Linked DNA regions of Rhinolophus ferrumequinum. The protein of the gene in region 1 purifies or fractionates together with the protein of each later gene. This does not show direct contact. Links are inferred from orthologs where the notes say so. Each region holds a gene or a part of one and is shown in the gene's direction. Other genes may lie near its edges.

Evidence for each region. Proteins that work in one complex are often made in the same cells at the same time.
Region 2: the proteins of PPP1CA (region 1) and PPP1R12A purify together in Homo sapiens (affinity purification with mass spectrometry; 3 studies listed by BioGRID and IntAct, with this or other methods). This does not show direct contact. The link is inferred for Rhinolophus ferrumequinum from reciprocal best matches to the Homo sapiens genes PPP1CA and PPP1R12A.

The regions. Positions count from the first base shown.
Region 1 is NC_046294.1:4,830,219-4,837,772, forward strand, and holds the start of PPP1CA (serine/threonine-protein phosphatase PP1-alpha catalytic subunit), read left to right. Parts: upstream 1-4,465; 5' UTR 4,466-4,555; coding exon 4,556-4,610; intron 4,611-5,127; coding exon 5,128-5,259; intron 5,260-5,412; coding exon 5,413-5,643; intron 5,644-6,184; coding exon 6,185-6,289; intron 6,290-6,690; coding exon 6,691-6,914; intron 6,915-6,996; coding exon 6,997-7,131; intron 7,132-7,203; coding exon 7,204-7,314; 3' UTR 7,315-7,554. Other genes in the region: TBC1D10C (carabin), read right to left, coding at 529-718, 851-916, 1,496-1,610, 1,809-1,915, 2,000-2,107, 2,323-2,422, 3,112-3,263. UniProt on the Homo sapiens protein: Protein phosphatase that associates with over 200 regulatory proteins to form highly specific holoenzymes which dephosphorylate hundreds of biological targets.
Region 2 is NC_046293.1:73,597,887-73,606,173, reverse strand, and holds the start of PPP1R12A (protein phosphatase 1 regulatory subunit 12A), read left to right. Parts: upstream 1-4,815; 5' UTR 4,816-5,014; coding exon 5,015-5,251; intron 5,252-8,287. UniProt on the Homo sapiens protein: Key regulator of protein phosphatase 1C (PPP1C). Mediates binding to myosin. As part of the PPP1C complex, involved in dephosphorylation of PLK1. Capable of inhibiting HIF1AN-dependent suppression of HIF1A activity.

The DNA.
Region 1 (7,554 bases):
ATGACAATCTATAAATATCTAGTTAGTTTGGTAACTGTCTCCTTCCATCTCCACCCCCACCAGAATGCAGGTCCACACACTCAGGTGGGCCCAGTGTCCAGAGCAGCGCTTGGCACCAGTGAGAATTCACCAAGTGCCTGTGGACTGTGGGATGAGCGCCTCTAACCACTGGCTGTGTCCCCACTGTGCCAGTCCCTGAGCCACTTCACTGTGGTCACCTCCCCAACTCCTGCCCCATCTACCTCGGGAAGGTTCTCTGGCCCCAGGCAGAGGCTGCCCTGCCTATGGTGGTATCACAGGGGACGGGCTACCATTCATTACGCTGGTGGTGTGTGGCCTGGGGCTGGGCTGTTTCCCCAGAGCTGGCAGGATGGCATCACCCTCAGCACAGCCGGGCACCTAGACCCAGGGCCAGGATTGGCAGTGGCGGGCAGGGCAGAGCAGAGCTGTCGGGCTCATTCCCTGTGCACACCAAACACCCCAGAGTTCCAGCCCAGCCCCCCTGCCCGCTGGAGGCTGCCCACTTACCCTCACTGAGAAAGGCGTCCCAGACGCGCAGCACTGTGGGGAAGGGCAGGGAGCGGGCGAAGAGGCACAGGAACCACTCGGGCAGGTAGAGCAGGGGCCCGACGCCCACCTGCTGCAGGTGTTTGTGCACACGCGGGAGCAGCCGCCGCAGCAGGGCCATGAACACCTCAGCATCCAGCTGCACAGCCTCCTGCGGCCATGTCCGTCAGCACCTCCACTCCCAAAGCCCAGCAGGCTCTGCCCCGCTCAGTCCCCAGGCCTCCACCCACCCATCCACCCAGCCCCTCCCCCTGTGCCCTCTGGCCTCATCCCAGACTCTTACCATGTGGGGCCCGTAGTAGCCTGGCAGGTAAAGCTCACAGATCTGCACCAGGCACCAGAAGGCCTCCTGGAGGTGGAGCACAGGCCATGAGTGCCCACCATGGAGGGGCCACAAGGGGAACCGCAGGGCAGGGGGAAAGGGTGCAGGGGAGGGCCTGGATACCATCTGCAGTGACTGTGGATCTAGGTGCCGGGACTCAGACCTGGGGGCGCTCTTACCAAAAGCCTCCCCTGCTCATGGGTCACAGGGCTCAGGGTGTTGAATTTGAGGGTCACAGAATCGAGGCTCACTGGTCAAAGGTTGGGAGGATCCCAAAGCTCAAGTCCTGGGTTCTTGGGGTCATTGGTTTAGGGATCATGGTGACAGGGTTCAGAATCAGGAGTCAGGAGGTCAAGGTGATAACATGCAGACTCCTATTCACTGGGGCAAGGGGCAAGGGGCAAAGGTCCCAGGTTCCTGCAGTCCAGGTCATTGGGCTTTAAGGTCACTGAGGCTGGCAGTCATGAAGCCCTGGGTCACTAGGACAGGATCTGGGGTCAAGGATCCCAGGTTCCTGACATCAGAGTCCCTGGGGTTGGGAGTCACGGGTCACTGGGGTTGGGGGTCAGGGTTTCGGGCCCCTAGCACAGGGTTAAGGGCACTCACCTCTGGGGGCAGATGCATGAGTAGCACGGCAGCCACAGGACCCTGTGCCTGGCAGTAGCCCTGTTCAGGCCGATACAGGGTGTAGGCCTTGAGTACCTGCAGGAGCCCCTGCTGCCTGTGCCAGAAGACCCCATTAGGGATCAGTCCTCCTGGCATCCCTTTCCCCTCTCTGCAGCCTTTGCCCAAGCCTCACCACCCCCAGCCTTGCTGGCTCCCCTGAGATGCAAAGACATAAAGCTGGGGTGGGGAGGGGCTGGGCCAAAATGCCTGGGGTTGTGAGGCTGGGGGTCCCTGGGCATCACTGGCCTCGTACCCGTGACCTTGGGGAGACACAAACATCTCGTGCAGAGGGAACTGGCGGTGCAGGTCCCTGCCGATGGTCTCCATCCACTGTGGATCTCCCGGAGTCTCAGCCAGTTCCTGTGGGTAGGCAGGAAGGTAGGTGGGAGGGCTCAAAGTGGCGAGGGGCTCTGGAAAGGGGGGAACCCCTGCCAACTCTTATACCTGATAGATACCAGGGCTGTTCTTTTGACACACATGGGCCCCACACAGCAGAGGCCAGCACCGGGCACGCAGGGCTGAGGGGATGCCTTTCCGGCACTGCATCTTTACCTGTGCGGAGGCCAAGGGACCCCATTAGGCCAGCAGGGCCAGCCTCCCCTGCTCCTGCTGGCAGGCCCCAAACACAACTTAGCATCAGGCAAGGGCCACTTTGGGTGGTAGGGAGAAAAGACAGGACACAGGAGGGGACTAAATTTTGCCAGGGCCTGGGCTGAGGCAAAGGAGAATAAGCCAAGACGGCCTGGGTGGGGCCATTCTCCCCTCACCTTCTTGTACCGCCGAGACATGGTTTTCTCCCAGTGTGAAGTCATCTCCACCCACTTCATCTCACGTTGACGGATAAGGTCTGCAGAAGGGTGACCAGGCCTGGGAGCACATGGCATAGACATCCAGGCGCCAGGCAGCTGTTACCTACAGCCCACATCTGCCACCCTCATGCAACCTAAGTGAGCCCCTGGGGGGTGACCTGTCACCCAAGAGTTGCCAGTGGTTGTCATGGGGACAGGAAAGGATGTGGCTCCAATGTGGGTGGAAGCAGGAAAGACTGAAAGGGGTGTGTAGGTGTGCATTGGGGGAGGGGCTGGTTGGCTGTCCCCCAGGATAGGGACACAGACAACTCACAGGGGAAGCTGTGTGGACTGAGCCCTGTACTAGAAGCCAGGAGTACTGAGTTTGAGACTGGTTCAGTCTCTGATCTGCTGTGTGACCTCAGGCAAGTTCCTTCGTGTCTCTGGACTTTTTATCCTGTCTGTATATTGGGAAAGGGGGAGGGTGGAGAAAGAAGTGTGGGTTCTGTGATTTGGATTTGGGATTCCTGGGCCAGAGGTTAAAAGGGAAAGGATGTTCAGTTCCCAAGGTGGGTCCAAACCCTTGGGGTTTGGGGGTAAAGAGACAAGGACACCCCGGCCCAGTCCTGCCAGCCTTAGGAGGGGTGACACTTGCTAAGTCCCCAGACCCGCCCAGGACCCTTGAGGTTGGGCCTCATTCTAGAATTCAGCTCTCAGCCCCTATCTTCAATCCAGGACCTCCCCCACCCCCATTCCTTCCCCACTTACCCTGGCTCTGCTGCGCTGCCTCCAATGAAGCCATACCGGTCGGCCCGGCGATATGGGCCGGGCCCACTCAGCTCTGAGTCAGACCCCAAAGAACTGGAATCATCCTGCAGCTCACAAGCCTGCACCAGGTCCTCACCCAGGGCCTGGGCCATGGTGCCCCAGACCCCTGATGCAACAAAGAGGCTGCAAGATGGGAGAACCAGTGAGAGAGGCAGCTCCTGGCCTGGCCTCCCATCCAACCGGTCCTCAGCCTCAGGTCCTGGCTGTGGGGTTGAAGGGAGGAGGTTTCAGGGTATCTCAACAAGCCCCTTGTGTCCCCACTTCTATTGGTGGGAGGGGGTTAGACCCTGAAGTGGCAGAAAGGCCAGGCCTCTGTTCAGAGACCCAGCCCCTGGCCCAGCACCCCAGCTTACCTCCCAGAAGCACCTCACCTCCTCCTCTCACTTCCTCCTCAGACACAGCTTCAGCTACCCACTGGGGGGCCCCTCCCCAGTGTGTGTGGGGGGGTTACCCCTTCCTCTCTGAGGCTTTTCCGGCCTGCCCCAGTGCCCCTGGGCTATGGGCTCCTCCCACCAACCCAACCCTGTACCCTGGGTTCTTGTGCCGGGCTTGATGGGACCAGGGACTGCTGGAGGTAGAGGCCAGGCTGCCTCCTGTGGAGGATACTGGCATATAAAACACTCAATTCAGGGTTTCAATGAGAATTATGGTTTATTTAATGTTTGCTCTTTAGAAAGTAATACTTTTAACATGCTCACAATGCAGTTTGTGCTACTCAAAGGCAGGCAAGGATGGGATTTTAAAAAATTAATTTAGATTGCACCACAGGCAGTATGAACTAAAATGGGCTCGGAGTTCTATGGAAGCTGCCTGGGTTTGGTCAGCCACCTCGGGGGCCACAAAGACGCAGGAGGTAGAGGTCCTCTGTGAATGTGAGGCCAGGTATTGGACCAGCCCCTTGTTATCTCTGAGCCTCAGTTTCCTTTTCTGTCCTTTGAGGACTTAATCCACAGTGTTTGGGGAATCTATGATTAACGTGCTCACGCCAGGTGGGAAGTTCGGCTGTTCCGCCTGTGAAAGAGAAAAACAACTTCCACAGTATTTCCGGTCCTATATTCTCAGAAAGAGGCTGAGTAATTCTCAGGGGCGGAACCAGACTCAACCTCACCCCACAAAACCACGCCCACCGACCAGGCCCCGCCCCAGGCACATAAAGTACCGCCCCGTCACCGAGCCCCCGCCTCCCGCATGGCGTCCAGCGGAGGCGCTAGAGAGCTGGGGCAGCAGGCAAGGGAAGCCAGCGGGGTGGGGCGGGCCGGGGCGGGGCGGGCGGCCGAGGAGGCGGGCCGGGGCGGGCGGAAGGAGCGACAGGCCGGAAGGAGGCATCGGAGGGCGGGAGGCAGGAGCTGGCCCGGAGCTGCTGGGCCGGAGCGGCAGAGCCGCCATGTCCGACAGCGAGAAGCTCAATCTGGACTCTATCATCGGGCGCCTACTGGAAGGTTGGCTGGGGTGTGGGAGGTCAGCGTCCGCCTCGCCCTAACCCCCGGCCCGGCTCGGCCCGGAAGTTGCGCGCGGGCGGGCCTGCCCCTCCCAGGGCTAGCTTAGACTGGGCGGGGACGGGCCGCGAGGTTCCGCGGCCGCAGCCGCCCCCCCACTGGCGGCGCACCTTGGGGGCGTCTGGGGCCCTTCGGGCACGGGGAGCAGCCCCCTCCTCTGGACCGGGGACGCACCAGTTGGCCTGGGCTCTTGGGGTGAGGGAAAAATCTAAGAAGCCTGTCCCCCCCACCCCCGGAAAGGGGTCCTGCGTTGGGGGGTTTCGGCCCTTGCGCACAGCAATCCCCTCGAGCACCTTAAGGGTAGTTGGGGTCCCGTCCTGGCAGGCTAAGCAGCAACAGCTTCCCGGGGCAAGGAGGGGCCCAGGAGGCCCAGGCGCCGCTAGAAGTGCCCATGGGGCACCTGTGCCGCCCACCCTCCTGTCTGAGGAACCAGGGTCCTGACGCTCCATTCCGCCTCCAGTGCAGGGTTCGCGGCCTGGCAAGAATGTACAGTTGACAGAGAATGAGATCCGTGGTCTGTGCCTCAAATCCCGGGAGATTTTCCTGAGCCAGCCCATTCTTTTGGAGCTGGAGGCACCCCTCAAAATCTGCGGTGAGACCCCTGCCCAGGCCCTTTTGCTTCCTGAAGGTGTCCTCGCCCCCCCCTCCGCCCAACCCCTGGATCCCTCTTCTCTTGAGCCCACCCTGGCCCTGGGTTCAAGTCTAGATCCCGCACCTAGTGCTGACCTGCTTCCCTGGGTCACAGGTGACATCCATGGCCAGTACTATGATCTTCTAAGGCTGTTTGAGTATGGTGGCTTCCCTCCAGAGAGCAACTACCTCTTCCTGGGGGACTACGTGGACCGGGGCAAGCAGTCGCTGGAGACCATCTGCCTGCTGCTGGCCTATAAGATCAAGTACCCCGAAAACTTCTTCCTGCTCCGTGGGAACCACGAGTGTGCCAGCATCAACCGCATCTACGGCTTCTATGATGAGTGTGAGTGGGCTGCGTGCCTGGGGCTGCCAGAGGCCTGAAGTTCTCTCCCCACTGTTTGGTGGGACCCTTGCGTTGACTTGGTGGTAGGAGTATCGGCATCTGACAGATAACCTGCTAGACTGTGAGTGTGGGGAAGGCAGGGCCCTGCCCGACTGCCCTCCTGCTCTGCTGCCATGGGGCCTGGCCCTCAGGAAGGGCCGACCACAGTGTAATACAGGGTCCTGTCTGGTAACATTCCCTCTCGCACATCCGTTACTTAAGCACTTAGGATGCCTATGTGGCCTGGACTCTGCTGGCCAGAAGCTGAGATTAACCAGATCTGGTCTTGGCCTGGCCCCGCTCACAGGGTGGAGGTGGGTGCCAACCCTGACGTTCCGGATTGGAACTCGGGGGTTCCTCCTGGAAAGCTGGTAGGCAGTGGGTTTCCCTTGCGTTTCACGCTCCTCTCCCAGCTGTGTCTGGGAGGCCTTGGGGGGCCCACAACCCTGTTGTGGGTTGGATGGACAGGCCGCCTCACAAGCCATCTCCTTCCTCTGGGCAGGCAAGAGACGCTACAACATTAAACTCTGGAAAACCTTCACCGACTGCTTCAACTGCCTGCCCATCGCGGCCATTGTGGACGAGAAGATCTTTTGCTGCCATGGAGGTGAGGACGGCTCTGGGAAAAGCCCAGCCACATCCCTGGGGACCTCGGGATGAGGCTGTTTGCTGGAGGACGTGTTCCCAGTCACCTGGAACAGCTTTCCCTGGGGTCTGGGCTTGGATGTCCCCCCTCGCCAGTGTTAGGCTGTACTCTCTGCTGTTGTGGCCTCAGCATTGTGCGTGGAACTTAGAAGTTTCCTTTCTCTAGGGAGCTCTGCGCTCCTAGAGGGCAGGGACTTAAACAGGCTAAGGCGGTGAGTTCTGCCGACCTGGGCTTCCAGGAGTCCAGGAGAGGGCCAGGTGGTAGTGGGGGGAGGCAGAAGCTAATTGGTCAAGACTTTCTGGAGGAGGGTGGCCCTTGTTTTGAGGCTTGTTTGAGGAAGTGACCTGCCCCGTGTCCCTCAGGTCTCTCCCCGGATCTGCAGTCTATGGAGCAGATTAGGCGTATCATGCGGCCCACAGATGTGCCTGACCAGGGGCTGTTATGTGACCTGCTGTGGTCTGACCCTGACAAGGATGTGCAGGGCTGGGGCGAGAACGACCGTGGTGTCTCCTTTACCTTCGGGGCTGAGGTGGTGGCCAAGTTCCTGCACAAGCACGACTTGGACCTCATCTGCCGGGCACACCAGGTGGGCTGGGAGCTCTGGTCTGGGTGGGAGTGGGGCCTGGGCAGCCAGCACCTGCTGAACTAACTGCCCCGTCCTCATCCAGGTCGTAGAAGATGGCTATGAGTTCTTTGCCAAGCGGCAGCTGGTGACACTCTTCTCAGCTCCCAACTACTGTGGCGAGTTTGACAATGCAGGCGCCATGATGAGTGTGGACGAGACGCTCATGTGCTCCTTCCAGGTAGGGGTGGGGAAGGAAGGGGCTGGTGGCCCATGGCTCAGCCCCGTGAGCCTGACCAGTTCTCTCTCTTAGATCCTCAAGCCCGCCGACAAGAACAAGGGGAAATATGGGCAGTTCAGTGGCCTGAACCCTGGCGGCCGGCCCATCACCCCACCCCGCAACTCCGCCAAAGCCAAGAAATAGCCTGTGGGTGCCCGCTGTCTGCCCCCGAGGGTGGACTGTGCAGCAATCTCACAGCCGTGGGGGTCACACTGGCCCCTGGGCCTACCCATCAAGGGAACACGGAGCCTTGGTGTATTTTTCTTTTTTTTTTAATGAATCAGTAGCAGCGTCCAATCCCCCAGGGCTCCCCCTGCCTGTGCCTCGGTGGCTGCAAGCAGGATCCTGGGGCTGAGGCTGCAGCTCAGGGCAAAGCAGGGCCAG
Region 2 (8,287 bases), on another chromosome or scaffold:
AGCTGATAGTATTTCCACCTGCCAAAACTGGGCATAGCCTTTACCAGCGATGCTGTGTCTGTGACCACTGCATGTATTTATTCTCAGTTGTATCCTACTCTGTTTTTGCACTCTGGTCTCTGGAAGAATTTAGAAGCTTTTCCTAGGATTTGAGTTGAATGACATTTGAATGAATCCCTCGACTAAAGCTAGTGTTCCGAGATGGAGTTCATACACCAAAATTCTCCTTGTAGATGTTGGAGTAGCTTTTAGTTTTTCTTACAATTTCAGTGCTATGGCAGATGCCTCTTAGTTGTAAAGTTTCCTTCATGTTTTCTCTCAGAGCTCATAGATACTTTCATATAAATGGGCCTTCCAATGGCCTGCCTTGATCCGCCAAGGTGGGTGTGTCACAAAGGTCTTTCTTGTAACCTTCACTACATTAATTATAATAATTATTATACGTGGTAATTAAAGTCAGCCAGTGTTTTTCAAAGTGTGGGACATGTAGACTGGTGGTACATGAGGTAATTTTAGACAGATGGGATATTAAAATACCAGTGAAGCCACTCAGCAAAACAGCTATTCTTTTTTCAGTACCCTTTAATCTTCCTGATTATATTAAGCAGAAAAATATCAGGTTGAAGCTAATGCGTCCAACCCTTACCAATCTTCCTTTTTTTTAACAAACTGAGAGCCGGCCTTGGGCTCAGATCCTTGATAGTGTATCTAACCAGAATAACACTGTTTTGTTTTCATTACATCTGTTTTCAAGGTCCTTCTTTTATTTATGTCAATTGGAAATGTTTTCTTTTTATGAAAGACATAATGTTTCCTTTTAAAATAAACCTATTTTTAAAAATTTATTTAAGTTTTTTAAAAGGTTAATAATATTTATTAATTGATAATAGCATTTGTTAATTAATAATATTTGTGTTCCCTAGATCAGGCAAAAATTGTGACAGCTTGGGAAACACTAAATTGAGGGATTCATATGGATGGCCACATGATGTTCTGACACTGAATAACACAGGTTGAAAGTCATGTGCATTAGAGGCAAGTTATCGTCTCTTTAGCACCATGCTTGTACTAGGGATTGTTGCCAGATATTTATCTGATTCCCTGTTTGTGGGGACCAGGGAGCTTCATGGGAATATCAGCCACAAGCAACTGCTAGAGTTAAGTTCTTGGGATGAAGCCAGATGTGGCAGAGAATTTCCCCTGGAGAGTCAAAAACCAGCTGAATTTCAGAGTTGTGGAAGGAACCACTAGGTCTGGGGAGTGAGGCTGACTTTGTAACCCAGGGGCAAGGCAAGGAGTTAAATGCTATGATCCAGAAATCAGGATTGGTCTAAAAGTAGAGTCTGAAGCAATTTTAGGGTGGTTCAGTGTTGGTTCCAGTCAACAACTTGGGTGGGACTGAGTATCTTAGAATGCTAGCAGATTAAAAATTTTTCTTCAGTTTCCTAAAAAACATTGGAAAGAAATCATTGTACAATGTAAGAGAGCCTAGCCCAGATGTAGTAGAGTACAGGAGATAAGACCAATGCCTTGTTGACTATTCTATTCTCCAGTCTTAAATGTAAATTAGAAGGTTTGAATTAGGGATGAGGAGAACTTAAATATATGACTTAAAAGCACTTATCAATATTTTATGTACACTTTGTACCTAAATACATTTCCAACTGTATAATAAAAGTTAATGGGAAAAAAAAAAGTTAATGGGAAAAAAAAGATGTACTGAACAGAAAGTTGGTTTATAAAAAAATTTGGCATATTATTTTGTATTAATGACATATACCTTTATTATTATTTTATAAAGATTGTAACAGTCAGCAAAGCAATGAGCTATCAATCAAACAAGCAAAGAAACAACTTAGATCTCAGGAGCTCTTAACTATTTTCTTTATAACATAACAGAGACTAACTTCTTTTTACAAGTAAAAAAGGTTTTTACCAAATGACAAATAACTAATCTTGTACTAGACAAAGGACTAACTGTGAAATTATTATTTTTTTACTTGGTTGACTTAAAATTTTTCCTTTTCTTATCCTGTGTTCACATATTGCTACATAATCAAATCAGGTATTTTCAAGTTTAGGTTCAATAATAAACAAACAAATAAATAAATCTCCACATTGCATAGGTTGGTACTAAGCTAAGGCCATCCACACACAAGATTTTGTATTATATTCTCTAGTTGTTTAGCTAATAATAAACTTGACTGTAAGTATACTGCCATATTATGATGGACACTTTAGGTGATGGTACATCAGACAGAGAGCACAGAAAAAAAATTTAAGCTTTGTAGGTGTGAGCATTTAAAATAAAGTTATGATTTAATTAAAAAGTCTTCAAATTGATCATAATTAACAAGTAACTTAATGGTTAGTAGGGGATATCCATAGTATAATTACGCTTTGAAAAAGATACGGGCAGATCCTCTTCTGACAACCTTCTGGCTGTAATAAGTAAATACCCCAACATGATTAATGATGTGCTGCAACAAAGAAAAACAATTAGCAAATTAATACAGTTTAATTTGCACTTCTATTTTAAGGATTAATTTGCCTGAAAGGTGCTGAAAAGTGTCCTCACACCCCAATCTACTTAGAGACCATTAGGAAATGAAAATATTTGCATTTCTCAATTTCTTCTTCTGCTTCAATTTTTAAGTTCACTAGGCTATTAAGATAATGTGGTGGTGTTTTTTAAATAAAAAGTTTTGCCTGCTCAGGAATTAGGCATAGGTCTTTAGTATCATTAATTTAATAATAACTTTTTTTTTACAATCCTCCCTTAAGAAACCCAAGCAGCTGGCCATTAAGATGAACATAGACCCTTAGAGCTGGGGAAGGAAAGCTAAACTCAGTGAAACTTGCATACATTAATAGCCCAGGTGGGTTTTTGTTTTGTTTGATAAACGTTTTGACTCGTAGCCTTTGGGAACTGATACTTGTTTATGTTTTATTTAAAAACTGTTTTGTTTTATTAATTTTACATCCTGAAGTGCTTGAATCTGAAATAGCACACTTCCCACCAATCTCTTGCTCAAATGAAAACTTGACATACCAATCTATATTCCAGGGCCCTTTTAAGAACTACCAAGTAAACCACAACATTCTTGGGAAAGAGTAAGGATGAGCTGTCAGTTTTTCTAGGTAATGGAGGAGCTGATGAGGCAATCCTCCAAGTCCCATCTTTTATGCTAAGAGCTGTATTCTGGAGTTTTTTTTAAATGAATAGGAATTTCGTATTTTAGTGCTGACAGAATTCACCACCACCTAACACCATCATTATTCAAAGGTCTGATATTACCATTGGTGCATTTTACGCACGTCACACTTTCTATTTCTACATTTTCAGAGGAAATATTTTTACCCTAACTTAGGTTCTATTACTATCCTAGTAATTGCAGTTCAGAAAATTCAGTCTTACAGGCAAGTGGTTTCCTAGTCTACTGTCATTTTATTTCTTAACATGATAGCTTGCAATGTAGTCTACTGAAGAATAAGAAAAAGCTTAATTGTTCATTGCTGTATCTGCAGCATTTAGAACAATGCTTGACCCATTACAGGTGCATATAATATTTGTTGAAGGACTCCTAATCCTGCTGCTGAGTAAAAAATTAATTCTTTGGGGACTCAGTCTAGGTGATCCCTCAAGTTCCATTCAATGGTACCCTTGTATTTATTACTGAAAAATAGTGGATGAAAATGGTGGAACGTTTAGAATATCAGTTGGTGATTACAAATAGATGGCTCAAAAGACATTAGTATTTGTTACTAATCGTGTGTGTGGGGGGGAAGCGTCGTGTCATCGAGACAAAATTAAAGCCTTTTTTATTACTATAAATTACAACGTTTTTTGAACACGTGACCTCAAAGGTGGTTTAACTATGTCATTGTTCTCATCCTATCAACAGTGCCTAGCTAGAACAATGACTGGCTCACAGTATGTATTCAACACCGGTTGAATTAATTGCGTAATATTAACATTCCTTTTGAACTCTAGAAGCTGCTGGGTCTTTACTCATCCTTAGAAAGCGATGAAGCAGGAACCAGAAATCCCTTAAAAGGTCAGAACCACTAACAACGCTGAACTAAGCTAATGGGTAGTACCCGACAGGCTTCAAGTGCTGAAGGAAAGGGAAGAGGACCCAAAACACGCGTAGAGAAAAAAACTAAACAAAGCCACAACAACAACAACAAAACAAGCGTAAGAGGAAAGACGTTTCTACAGTGGAGGTTGGGAGGAAATCACAATTACCGCAGGTCAACCCTTGTCACCAGGCGGCCACATCGGCCCAGATCTGGCTAGCACCAAAGCCCTTCGGGTACACAAACCCCACTTTTAAAAGAGCGTTCGTCCGAGTTCCTTAGAGAAATCACAAACGCCTAATTCACAACCTATCCTCCATTCTATTCAAATAACGCAGCCAATAGGAAAATCCTCCCTGAGCAAACGGCTCGGCAGAGCTGAGACTACCCCGGAGACGGGACTGCCCCGGAGAGAGCCGCCTCACAGCCCGACTGTTGGCCTCCGGAACCTCAGGAACCCTCAGCGGGGAAGGACAACCTCCCTTCCCTGTCTCCGCCCATACAGGTTGGTCCCAGGCCCCGCAGCCCGGGCGGACTGGACCACACCCGCTTCCCTCCGGTGGCCCGGCCGCCCCCACCACAGTTCGCGGCAGCGCTCTTCCTGGGCCGGGCGCAGGCCTAGGACGCATGCGCACTGGCCGAAGGGCGCCTCCCTGTCCGGATCTCGCGAAGTTACGTTAGATTGGCCGCGGGTGACGGGTGGCCGGCTGGGGGCGGGAGGGCTTCGGTGGTAGAAAGGGAGGTCCGCTCTGCCGGGCGCGCCGCCCCAGTGCTCTGTGGGATACTGGAAGTCTCGAGCGTCTCCTCCCGGTTCCCAGCCCTCCTCCGGCCCGCACTCATAGAAACAGTCACACACCCCCTGCCTCCCCTCGCTTCCCTCTCCGCCTCCCCCTTCCCCCCCTCGTGATAAGAAGACCCGGCGGCAGGAGAGGGGATGAAGATGGCGGACGCGAAGCAGAAGCGGAACGAGCAGCTGAAGCGCTGGATCGGCTCCGAGACGGACCTCGAGCCTCCTGTGGTGAAGCGCCAGAAGACCAAGGTGAAGTTCGACGATGGCGCCGTCTTCCTGGCTGCTTGTTCCAGCGGCGACACGGACGAGGTCCTCAAGCTGCTGCATCGCGGCGCCGACATCAATTACGCCAATGTGGACGGACTCACTGCCTTGCACCAGGTCTGTGCGCCCCGCCGCCTGCTCTCTGCCCGTGCGGGTCCTCATCGGCCTCGCGCCGGGGCCTCCCCTCTGCTCTGGGCTCCCTGAGGCTGGGGGCGGCAGGAGACTCCCTACTGCGGGGTGAGGGGGCGGCTGCTCGCGTTGGAGGGAGGGAAGGAGGGAGAGAACTGGTGGAGGAAGAGCGCTGGGGCTCGAGGCCCCCTTCAGACCATTTGGTGGTGGAGTTGGGAACCGGCTGATTTCCGGGGCAGAGGGGAAAAGGGACTGTGGTCGGCTTGGGGCTCCAGGGCCATATGTGGACATGCGTCTGGGATTTGGGGTCGAAACCGGGAGGGTTGTGGGGTGGGTGGTTGTGCCTGGGCCCCCATGTCAGTGATATACTGGGAGGACGGGAGATGCTGAAGAAAACGACCAACAAGGGGCATTAGGGACGCTTGGGCAGATGGACGTCTTTGGCTGATATGTGGGCATTGGATTTGTTGTTGTCTTTAGGACTTGATTACAAATGACAATGTTGGTGATGATGATGATGGTGATGATGATAGTAATCAAGAGCCCTAAGCCGAGTGCCCTGAGCGAACGATTTCCTGTTTTCTTCTTTATTGCTCTTGGTCACTGGGGAGGGTAAAATGGGGTGTAATTAGCTGATCTGCACCGGCTAAAAGGGAGGGGATGGGGTAAGGAAACGTTCACAAGGGCTTGCCCCCCGCGGGAGCGGGAAGGAGTGAAGAGTCTCTTAAAGTAGGAGAAGAGTTTGCCGCAGTGTCAGAGATCCTTGAGCCCCAGGTCCTGGGTGTGCACTGGGGTTAGAAAGAGAAGAATAAACACGGGGCAGTCTTTTCAAAGACGGTTACCAGGCTCTGATTTTTCTTTTGGGGGTGGGAAAAAAGAAAGCTGGTCACAAACTTTTCTCAAAATGGATGCTTTGTGCATGTTAAAGTTTTATAGTAGTCCGATTGGGATCTCTCAATGTTAGCCAAATAAGGAGAAACTATTGGCAATCCAGAGATAATGTTCCTTTGCCTTTAACAGGCCAAAAGCAACACAACCGCGTAGAATTCTGCATAAAAAGCAATTTTTAAGTGATGGTAATAGGTGACAAGACATAGACTTTCCATTTTCTTAGTGGGCACTTGGAATTTACTAGAAAACGACTTTACAGCAAAGCTTCCCCTTACAATGAAAAGACTTGTACACTATCTCAAATTCGTTATATGTAGAAGATTGCAGCTTTATTTTGATTAATATTAAACAAAAATTTGTTTGGGAGGTTGAAACTTAAGACTGTATTTTATACACATCACCTTGCTCACTTTTTAAAAGAGAGGTGTGTAGTGGCATTTTTCTTTTTACTGCTTCCTGTTTAGGGAATGAAGATCACTTTAAGTTTTGGTTAATTGAATTCTCATATCAAACTTGGCTTATAGCCTTTGTTTACAAAGTTGACTGGATGAACTGAAATGACTGACAAATTGCAGGACAAATCTGGAATTTAGAATGTGGCGCCCAGTAAAAATATAGCATCATCGTCTTTATATCTTTATCTGTTCCATTAATGTACAGTCTGTAATGTGTATCAAGCTTTTTTTTTGGCTGAGGTTTATTTTAAAGCATAACATAACTCTAGATTCTAAAAACATGATGTTGAGAATGAAAGTAAGTTTTGGATTAAAAATGATAATGTAATTATATAAGTTGAATCTTTTCAAATTTCTTTCAAGTGTGATTTACACATGTGATTTTGAAAGACAGTTATACGCTTGAGGTCAGGATACAATTGGATAATGGTTTACATCAATATGTTTTATTAAAATTGTCAAATAGAAATTTAAACTTATTACTGTTGTGGAGGAACCCAATTGTACTGGGCTTGGAGGAAGAGGAAAATTCCCAACCCTTAATATTATTGTTTTAGGTAGGAAGAGAAAATACATATAACAGGCTTCTTAAAGGTTTTTTCTTTCCTTCCTCTCAATTTGGACATGTTGCAAGAATTATCAGACTTATCAGTATCTTCCTGATTAACTGAATTCAGTGGTTAGTTTGGCATTATATAGGTGTGTAGTCTTTATTTGGTATTTTGTTTTAACTGACAAGGGCTTAAACATAAGTTTCCACATTGATGCATAATATCTTTTTGTAGTTTGTCTGCCCATTCCTTAAATCAGTGAAGTCAAAGTCTTTAAAATATTAAGTATTAAAATTTTTATTGTGTTTTCTCCACTCTCATTTCTTTTATTAAATACTTGTACTTTTTTCCCCGTAGTGATTGCTAGCACAAGGAGTTTGCCTGAAGCAAATTCAGGACAACAGATAGTGAAAGGTGATAAATAAAACTCTTTTAAAAAGAATCGCAAGAAAATGTTAGGCTTTTAAGGAATCTCTTGAATGCTGCTTGTTTTAAATACTTAAATTATAAAAATGTAAAGTTGACCCCTGATTTGTTTTGTAGTCTTTAAATAGATGTTTTGTTTTGTATTTTGTTATTTAACCTCGAAAGATCATAGGATACCTAAAATGTTTTTCTTAGATTAATTATTGGTTAGTCTTTTAGAATATTCATTTCCTTTTTTTTGGTTTTGATCAAGTATTCTAAATTTCACTATCAGGAGAAAAGTTTCTTAGAGACTTCACAGTACACAAATGTTAGTCTAATGTTTTACTCTCAGTTTTAATATAAGTGTCTTAATGTTCACAAGTTTATTTCTTAATTGGTTAAATGTGCTGTCACAAGAAGTCAAAAGATAATCAGTTTGCAGCTCTTCTTTTTGTATAGAAATACAGAGGGTGCCAAAAAAATGTACACATTTTAAGAAAGGAAAAAACTGTATTAAAATTGTAATAATATATATACCGATAACAAAAGATGAATGCAAGTCATGTGTATACATATTTCTGGCACCCCCAGTTATGTCTCCCATATAGGAGAAAAAGTAGTGTTTCTTATCAACTTTCCTATCCTGTCCTCTAGAATAGCTTACACACACACACACACACACACACACACACACACACACTCCCATAGCTGGAAAATGT